2 linked regions of the Daphnia pulex genome follow. The protein of the gene in region 1 interacts with the protein of each later gene in a pairwise test. Links are inferred from orthologs where the notes say so. Each region holds a gene or a part of one and is shown in the gene's direction. Other genes may lie near its edges.

Region 1 (5,376 bases):
GTAACCTTGGCTTGAAATCTTTTACCCTTGCCGGCGCCTTTTCCGGCTAAACAACTGCAAATTCTAAAACCAAATATTTGCGAGTTAGTTTTAAAAAGTTTGTTCCGATAAGGAGATCTCTGTCGCAATGGAACGTACTTTGGACCAAGAGAGCTGACCACATCCTCTTGACCAATAAGAGTCATTTGCCCGTTGTTATCTTCTCCCACAGTAATAAGTAATGTGATGTCCTAAAGAGAGAATATTAAAAAGAAAATTTTAATGTTAAATAAGGACAATTAAAAACTAATAATCTAGATACCTCAGAAGCCAGTTCTGAAATTAGAGCACTTGCATAATCGGCATCGCCGTCTTTGCGGTGAACAATCGAAAATTTCGGTTTCTCGGTTTTAATTTTCTCTGCCTGATTGACAGCTAATTCTTTCATCAAAGTTTGCAAAGTCTTAAAAGAAAAGAAAATTTTTAAATTAATCTACAGTCGATTAGGATACGGAGAAGTTCAAAAGTTGTTTTACCTTTTGTGATAACTTTACTGAGGCTTGTAATTTATTAGCTAAATCGACATGATCTTCAGGTCCGTTTCTGAAACGAGCAAATGAGTTAATCACTTGTCATTTCAACAATTATTTTAAGCATTTCATACTTCAGAATTTTAGTCAACTGGCGCTCCCTGTCAAGTGAACGATTGATGTAATCTAGCACTCGATTTCCACTTATAAAGAAGAGGTTGGTCTTATTTTTTTTACCCTTTTCAGCATAAAGCAGCTTTATGAACTAAATGAAGTATTTTAATCGATGGTTAATTATTGCTTGTACTATTGGGGGTAGTAAACTGCGTACAATACCTGTAAATGACTAAGGTTGGAAACGTGAGTTCCACAACACATGTTGCTGTCTACACCTAAAATAGTTACGACGCGAACAGGACCAACGTGGTCATCGGGAAGACCTCTAGAACGGACCTACGAACCCAATATGGTTTTCTTTAATTTAACTTTAATGTCAATTAAAGTAAAATTCTTACTTGGTCGGGTATCGCATCTCCTTCGTATACTTTTACTTCCACAGAGACAGCTTCCCTGATTTTCTCATTCACTTGGCTTTCAATGGTTTTTAGTTGGGCATCAGTCAGATTTACAGTATCTTGTAATTTAATATTAAGTGTCAATCAATGATGCTACAGAAAATTCTGAACACAAAGTTAAGAAGGAAAAATTTACCTAATTCAATATGGGAAACAGATTCCCCAAGCCACCAAGATGTTGTTTTGAAACCAAATGAAGCATCAGCAATTGCAGTGATTAGATGCTGCCCAGAGTGTTGCTGCATATGATCCCACCTTCTCTCCCAATCAATGACACCTGTAGCTAGAGTCCCAACATCCAGGCTGTCTTGTAAAAAATGGATGGCATCCTTCCCTCTTCTTTTGACTTGAAAGACAGGGATTCCGTTCAAGAAGCCTCTGTCATCAGGCTTTTGACATTTGAATTTTTAAAACCAATTCTATATGAGGATGTGTAATTTAACGTAAAAATTACCTGGCCTCCACCTTCAGGAAAAAAAACGGTATCTTCCAATAAGACTTCAAATGCTTGTACTTTCTCCTTTTTCCCCTGGACGAGCCTCTCGATCTGACACGGCGAACAAGAGACGACTTTGCTCGTAAACTACGAAACACCATACTGATCATTAATAGGATAAGAAAATACAAATACCAAAAAGGAAAATTTATTGAACCTCTTTCTTGTACGGTGATTTTTGACATTCAAAGACCATCGTAGACTTTTGGCAAATTTTGCACTGTTGTTATTTTTTTTTTCTTTCTAGCAGACAAAAATACAATCCATCTGTTGGCAATATTTACAACTTTGAAGAAAACACTAAGAGAAGAAATTGGCAACAGTGTTTTAAGCCAAGAAAAAATGGTGACTTATTGCAAAGACTTGTAGTCTTGTACTTGTGTTTTGTGTGTTTGCTATAATTGCAGCTATAATTTTATCTCGTTCAACGGGAAATACCACCAGAGTTTCTAATCTTTATACTGCCTGCTTGTATTTCGGTTTATTGACATTTTAAAGAGATAATTTTACTTTCGCGCTAATACTCAACTGAGCCCTGTAGGTGTATTTTTTTGCTGTTTTCACTTCACAGTGACATTTTTCTAAAGTCCTAAAGCCTGGTTGTTATAAAGATTATAAATTAATTTCAACACCGAAACATCATTCATGTTCCATGTAGCAGTGTGGATGCAGGTTAGTGGTTTGCATAGCAAAATCTTTATCAGTGATGACGTCAAAAATCAGTACTCATCTTATCTCTTAAATTTTTTACAGGTTCCTGTTCTGATTATGGGCTTTGATAGTATTGAAAACACCAGATCAGTTTAGTATCTGGTGTAGTTCTGAACTACAGCAACGTCCAAGGTCTGACCTCCATGAAATGGCTGAAACTGTTGCAGCTGTTGTAACCAGTTCCAATAGCGCAAGCTCTAGGAACAACAATGACTCCCACTTTCATCAACTAAATCTCTCAGGTTCAATGCAATTGATATTTAATCTTTACATTGGAAAAGTTCTAATCTGATTTATGCAATATAGTTCTAAAGGCCACTGTTGACCCAGTTTGCATAACAAAAAAGCCTTCACCATATGTTGAAATCTTGGTTGATGGGAAAGTGGTTTGGAAAACTGAGGCTGTGAAGAACACACATGATCCCACTTGGTCTTGTGAATCCTTTACTGTGTATGTACAGTTGCTATGATTCAGCACATTTGCAAGTGTCTTATCTTATTTATTTTTCTAGTCTTGTGAAAATCAATTCAAAATGTCTACTGAGGCTCTACAGTCATTCAACTTTCAAGCGAGATTTGGTTCTAGGAGAAGGCAGAATAGATATCCAAAAACAACTAGTACGAGAACAAGGGAAATTTGATAAAACCAGTCTTGTTCTGGATGTTAAGGTAAGCCTCATACTTGATTACTAGAAAAACACAAAACAAACAAAATTATTCAATATTTCTGGCATCAATAGGGAGAAATAAAGAATACTAGCATTGCATCAACGACAGAAGCAGCTAACGGTCGCAGCTCTAAAGTGAAGATTGGAGAAATTTTTATTGTGATGGACGGAATGAGGGTAGATCCAAAATTGTTGACAGGCAGTAGTCGAAGCGCAACGAGGTAATAATGTGCAGCGTTCAAATGGAAGCGAGCGATTCATCATTATAAATCTGTGTGCTCCCATTTTTTTAATCATCAGAGTGAACGGAGAAACAGGTGAATCCAGCTCAACCGCTGAGATCCGGACGAACGGTGCAGCAGTAGCTCCTGTCACGAATTTGACCACGGGCGAAAATGGTGGCGGAGCTCGTCCTCGTACCCGATCGAATGATGTTGAAGCCGCCCCCATTCCAGCAGTAGTAACTGGTGTTCCATCCAGGACACCCAACGGAACACCGCAGCAGACGCCGTCCAGGACTCCCAACGGGACAGTGGCAGCACCGGCTCCGAGGACTGAAACTACCCCAGCCACGACAGCACCTCCGGCTGCTCCACCTGGCCCCGAAGAACCTCTTCCGCCAGGGTGAGTTGATGCTGTTGTTGTATCACATCCATTTGAAATGTAACTGACGTTATTTTGTCTTCATTAGATGGGAAGTCCGTTTCGATAAATACAACCGGCGCTACTACGTCGATCATAACACGCGGAGTACGACGTGGGAGCGCCCGCAGCCTCTTCCGGCCGGATGGGAGATGAGAAGAGACCCTCGTGGTCGAGCCTACTACGTGGATCACAACACTCGATCGTAAGTTTATTTAATGGTTTCAACTTTTTCAATTAAATTAATTCGTATTTGTAAATTAACCAGGACGACATGGCAAAGACCGAATGTTGAACGTCTGCAACATTACGAACAGTGGCAAGGCCAGCGAGCGCATGTTGTTCAACAGTGCAGCCAGAGATTCCTATTTCCACAGGTAGTTGATTCATTGATCATTGAGCTAATCGTGACGTCACTTGCATTGATGTTGTTGTTGTTTTTTTCCTAACTAGGGTGGAGGAGTCAGCACCGGAACGGCGGTGGTGACGGGTACGGAAGAGAGCGATCCGCTTGGACCTTTGCCAGAAGGCTGGGAGAAACGTGTCGAGCCTAATGGCAGGGTCTACTTTGTCAACCACAAGAATCGCACCACACAGTGGGAGGATCCGAGAACCCAGGGGTGTGTCTCTCACTTGTCAATTCATCGAAATCCCTCAATCAATCTATATCTCATTTCTTTCTTTCTCTGATTCATTTCAGGATGAACCAAGAAGATCCTTTGCCTCCCGGCTGGGAAATGCGAATCACGGACGATGGTGTTCATTATTTTGTGGATCACAATACCCGGACGACCACCTTCCAAGATCCTAGACCAGGCGCAACTAAAGGGTATGATTATGTTGTCCATCATTACTGCCACAACGTGTTCTATCCAGCTCGCCCGCTACTTGAAAGTGCTTTTATTGCTTTGTGTGTGTTAATTGCTTGTGTTTTTTTTTTCCTCATTGCGCTGGACGCAGTCCGAAAGGTGCCTATGGCGTTCCCATCGCTTACGAGCGCTCATTCCGCTGGAAGCTATCTCAATTCCGCTATCTGTGTCAGAGTAATGCCTTACCATCACACATCAAGATCACTCTCAACCGGTCGACGCTCTTTGAAGATTCGCACCATCAGATTATGCGCTTGCCCGCCTACGAGCTCCGCAGGCGGCTGTACGTCATTTTCCGCGGCGAGGAGGGCCTTGATTACGGAGGAGTGGCTAGGTAAAATTATTATTAATTAAATACCCCCTTTGCGTCCCTTGAAGTGTGCGCTAATTGGACACTGAAGAGGAAACTGATTTTTCTATTCATTTTTTTTTTGTTTTGACAGGGAATGGTTTCTCTTGCTGTCACACGAAGTGCTAAATCCCATGTACTGCCTCTTTGAATACGCCAACAAGAATAACTACAGCCTTCAGATCAATCCGGCGTCCCACGTCAATCCCGATCACCTGCACTATTTCAAGTTTATCGGTCGATTCATCGCCATGGTATGGATGATGGCCGACAAATCTCTTTCGGCTTTACAGAATTTGGGTCGATCGAGGCCGGAATGACATTCACGATCCTTTCTTTTTGTTTGTTTTTTTATTTGTGTCCTTGCACACGACAACAGGCTTTGTATCACGGACGATTCATCTACTCGGCTTTCACGCTGCCGTTCTACAAGCGCATGCTGAACAAGAAGCTGACGACCAAAGACATCGAGTCGGTGGATCCGGAATTCTACAATTCGCTCCTGTGGGTCAAGGACAACAATCTGGAAGAGTGCGGATTGGAGCTTTACTTTTCGG
Region 2 (4,111 bases), on another chromosome or scaffold:
GAAGTTTGAATGGAAAAATTCTCGTCAAACAAAACTTCAACTCACTTTTAAGACTACTTGAATGGAATGTTAATATGGAATTTTCAGCTAATCAACAGCTATTAATGAAACAAATATTAGTGAAACACTATCTGGAGGACGAGCAAGGTCGTTGATGGCCAACGCACATGTGAAGGAGTCGACAGCATAAGCCTTTCTTGTTTTGCTTCACACCTCAATCTTTAGATGTAATTGAATTCGACACAAGAGTCTAGTTATGACAATGACTCGATCACGCTGCGACACATAATCCAGTAATGATAAAATACCTCGTAAATTACCGTTGATAGGATAGAAAGTATCGTGAAAAGACGACACACCGGGTTTTTCTTTTCTTAGTTTTTCTCGCTATAATATAAATCGATTTTTTTACGTTGTCGATCATTGCGGCTGCAATGCCAGATTATAATTTGTTCTCTTAAAAATATATTTTATTCAATTGCAGCCACGTCACTTGTGAAATAGAGATTTATAAAAATATTACTTACTACGTTATTTTTTATTTTATTTCCTAGAAAAACAATTTTATGCAATTTAATTCGAAATGTTGTCGTTTGGATTGCCGGCTGTTCTTTGACAGACCTGAACAGACGATGATGAGTCCAAAGCCCAAAGGCACAAAATGTAAATACTACAAAAATCCCGAATTAATTTTATTGAAAATACCGAAGGCAACACTTTTTAAACGTGCTTAGTCTTATCTAAATAAGAATAAATTAATTTAAATTTTTTGCACGATGAATTTTGATTTTTAGAATGCATTTTAAATTCGGCCGAGGCCCCGAGCGATTGCCAGATTGGCAACTCTCAGAATCTTCGAAATCTGGGAGAATTTCACATAATCTCTAGAATTTAACAAAATTTACCTTTTTCTCACCGTTAGCAGGCGCAAACCGCATTTTTTTATTGGCACCCCTAGGCCCTAGCCAAATTTGGCGAACCTTTGATTCAGGATCTTGTAGCATCTCGTAGAATCTGAAAAATTCTAAATCTTCGCACATTCCAGTGATGCCCCTAGTAGCGAAATTTGGGTGAAACTTTGATTCGGAATCTCTTAAGAATCCCGTAAAATTTCACAGAATCTAGCACCGCTAGCACAATAAGAAAGATACCGTATCTTCGTTCACCCAGATTTTTAGTTTCCAAAAAGTCAAACCTCATCACATTTGTGACACGTACACATACGGACGTGACATTTGTTTTTCTTCCCGCAATAACTACGACTCTTGCCACTTTATTTCACTTTAGCCACATCTGTTAATAGTTCAGCCACAAAATTATAGATTTCAAGTTAAGAAACACCGCCGTTTCCGAAACGACAATGATTCCCTTATATGCGTATGATTGCGGGTTGAACTGTATATCATGAATTCGCTTATCGTTATTTTCGAAGATCGACTAAATGACTAGTCACCACCATAGGATAACCTACGTACACAATAAGTAATCAAATAAAAAAAAGCTCTTGGACTAGATCAGGCAGACAAACAGCAGCTTTAATTTGTGACCTAAATATAAAAACAAATGTACTTCGCGTATTGCAAAATTTATGTTGCAAATAGTGCTTCCGAATTTTTGCCAAAAGATTAATTTTTCGCATTTTTATCTCTTTATTTGATGTTGTTATTACGGCTCTTTATTTAAATGACAGAAAGACAAGATTTTTTTTTACCTTACTCTGAAGTCTGAACTGTGCACAGCAAAATATTACGCGCATGCGCTTTTGTTTGGTTATTCCAATTTTGAAAAAATCGTATTTCAGGAAACATTTTTTCACTTAAGATGGCTCTGTATGCGGTACTTTAACTTACGTGCTTTGTGTATGGCCTTGAAATCTACGAGGCCAACACAAGTTTGCAAGCAGGCAAGCAGCCGTTCACAGCAGCTCTTTTGTGGAAGTAACTTCAGATATTAGTAGTAAATAATTTCAATAAATCGCTAAGTAGAGTAATATTTCAGTAATTGATTGATTGATTAAATTGAAATGGCGGCAACTAGAAGACTTCACAAGGTGAGTTGAAAGTTATCTATATTGCATCACAAATTCATAATCTGTAGTGATAATAATTCATCTGTATAAACATTTAATGTATTCTCTGTGTGGTCAAAGGAATTGGAAGACATCAAGAAGTCTGGGTTGAAATCTTTTCGCGACATTCAAGTTGATGAACAAAACATTTTGACTTGGCATGGACTTATTGTTCCTGTGAGTCTGAATTTTTTAGATGAATATTGATTGAATTACCTTGGTTACAAGCCATCATATATTTTTCATAGGAAAATGCTCCCTACAATAAAGGAGCTTTTCGGATTGAAATAAATTTCCCTGCTGAGTATCCATTCAAACCACCAAAAATTGCGTTCAAGACAAAAATCTATCATCCAAATATTGATGAAAAGGGACAGGTAAAAATTTCAATGTTAACCTTGTAAATATCTTATTTGTCTGGCAATTTCTGTTAGGTCTTAAAAACATTTGCCTTTTGGAATTTTTGCCATACTTATTATTGTGTGTTTATTTCTTTCAGGTCTGTTTGCCCATAATAAGTGCTGAAAACTGGAAGCCTGCCACCAAAACTGATCAAGTGATACAAGCGCTGGTTGCCTTGGTTAATGATCCAGAGCCTGAACATCCACTTAGGGCTGATCTTGCTGAAGAGTATTCCAAAGACAAAAAGAAATTCATGAAGAATGCAGAAGAGTTTACAAAAAAAAACAGTGAGAAGAGACCAAGTGATTAAATGTTTTCTGTTTTCATCATAAACACTTGAGAAGAGGCAGAGTTAAAATTTTGAACTGGTCCCCCCTCTTTCCCTCTTCACTTCATTGTAGAGCAGTGAGAGCTGCACTGTGATCTTCATTTATTTTCATTTCTATCTTTGCCTCTCTTGATGGTTGAAATATTTCATTGCACATGAGCTGCGAAAAACAATACATTTGCAGTTGTCTGAAAAATTATTTTTTGTAATATCCATGTTTATTTTGCAAATCATTTATTATCATGTTACACACACGGTTTTTCCGGGATCTCGATTTGATTCACAAGAACAGGAATTCATAAAGAATTGTTCCTGTATAATCCGAAAATGAAGGTTTTTTATAAGTTTAATAGATAAGGAGCAAGGGAAAATCCATTCATTCTGATGCAGCCATTTCTTTCATTTCTCGAATCAATCGCTCGTTGTGCTCTTTATAGTTGATTTCCTTCACTTCATAGACATTTGTTTTGAGGCGGCTTTCATCCTAAAGAAAAGGTAAAAGCGTCAACAGATAACAAGATCGAAATTCATAATGCTCATAGACTTACATTGTACGTCTCCATTTTCACTCTCAGGCGGAAGACATACCACTTAAAAGTAGCTTCTTCGAAAATTTTCTGAAATTCGTTATTATCCGAATCCTTCAATCTACCGACCTCGTCTGCGGATTTCCCTAAAATTTATAATCAAATAAATAAATATTATATGCTAAACGTAACATTAGTTCGAAAACAAAATTACCAAGAAGAGTTTCAGCGGTTTCTTGGAAGCAGGTTACCCATTGCTGGTCCGTGGCATCCGCGATATTGACCTATAACAAATTTCGAGTGCTGTTTTGAGAGAAATAGATTTCATAAAATATCTTTGTCATACCGAAAGCATCATGCGCCATTTGAATTCCTGGAATTCGCGCTGGCATTTCTCACATCGATAGAGGCCATTGTTTTGATCGATGACCTGCGGGAAACGCAAATATTGTCAAAAATGAGTTGTTTTATTATATATTTATGTTTACCTTTTTGTTGCATTCATCACTGGGACAAGCCATGTACAACGCTCTTTCTTTGTTGATCATAGCAACCATAGCCTTAACACTGTAGAAATCAGGTTTATCTTTTCCCAGGTTTTCGAATTTTGCTTCAGCGAAAGTCTTATACGACCCACCACTACCACCAGTGCCAGCGCCACGACTCGCCGAAATGCTAGAAGCGGCCGATGATGAGCCACCGTTATCGTACCACCCTCTTAGTTTGTGAGCTTCATTCATGTCAGGATTGATCTATTAAAAATATGCGCTGTAGAATAGTAGAGAA

Evidence for each region.
Region 2: the proteins of E3 ubiquitin-protein ligase Su(dx)-like (region 1) and ubiquitin-conjugating enzyme E2 L3 interact in binary tests that used the Caenorhabditis elegans proteins (3 or more experiments, as listed by UniProt). The link is inferred for Daphnia pulex from reciprocal best matches to the Caenorhabditis elegans genes wwp-1 and ubc-18.

The regions. Positions count from the first base shown.
Region 1 is NC_060026.1:2,733,457-2,738,832, forward strand, and holds the start of E3 ubiquitin-protein ligase Su(dx)-like, read left to right. Parts: upstream 1-1,900; 5' UTR 1,901-2,252; intron 2,253-2,333; 5' UTR 2,334-2,439; coding exon 2,440-2,533; intron 2,534-2,597; coding exon 2,598-2,742; intron 2,743-2,803; coding exon 2,804-2,960; intron 2,961-3,031; coding exon 3,032-3,180; intron 3,181-3,259; coding exon 3,260-3,583; intron 3,584-3,650; coding exon 3,651-3,806; intron 3,807-3,869; coding exon 3,870-3,978; intron 3,979-4,054; coding exon 4,055-4,221; intron 4,222-4,301; coding exon 4,302-4,430; intron 4,431-4,561; coding exon 4,562-4,804; intron 4,805-4,913; coding exon 4,914-5,073; intron 5,074-5,198; coding exon 5,199-5,376. Other genes in the region: alanyl-tRNA editing protein Aarsd1-B-like, read right to left, coding at 1-63, 139-230, 302-442, 516-582, 644-774, 846-962, 1,025-1,143, 1,221-1,473 and 2 more. UniProt on the Caenorhabditis elegans protein: E3 ubiquitin-protein ligase which accepts ubiquitin from an E2 ubiquitin-conjugating enzyme in the form of a thioester and then directly transfers the ubiquitin to targeted substrates. Ubiquitinates klf-1.
Region 2 is NC_060017.1:3,016,426-3,020,536, forward strand, and holds ubiquitin-conjugating enzyme E2 L3, read left to right. Parts: upstream 1-1,848; 5' UTR 1,849-2,023; coding exon 2,024-2,050; intron 2,051-2,149; coding exon 2,150-2,245; intron 2,246-2,316; coding exon 2,317-2,445; intron 2,446-2,567; coding exon 2,568-2,780; 3' UTR 2,781-2,997; downstream 2,998-4,111. Other genes in the region: replication protein A 70 kDa DNA-binding subunit-like, read right to left, coding at 3,175-3,282, 3,347-3,471, 3,540-3,609, 3,672-3,755, 3,814-4,077. UniProt on the Caenorhabditis elegans protein: Ubiquitin-conjugating enzyme E2. Accepts ubiquitin from the E1 complex and catalyzes its covalent attachment to other proteins. Required for diet restriction-mediated lifespan extension, probably acting as part of a complex with ubiquitin-protein ligase wwp-1.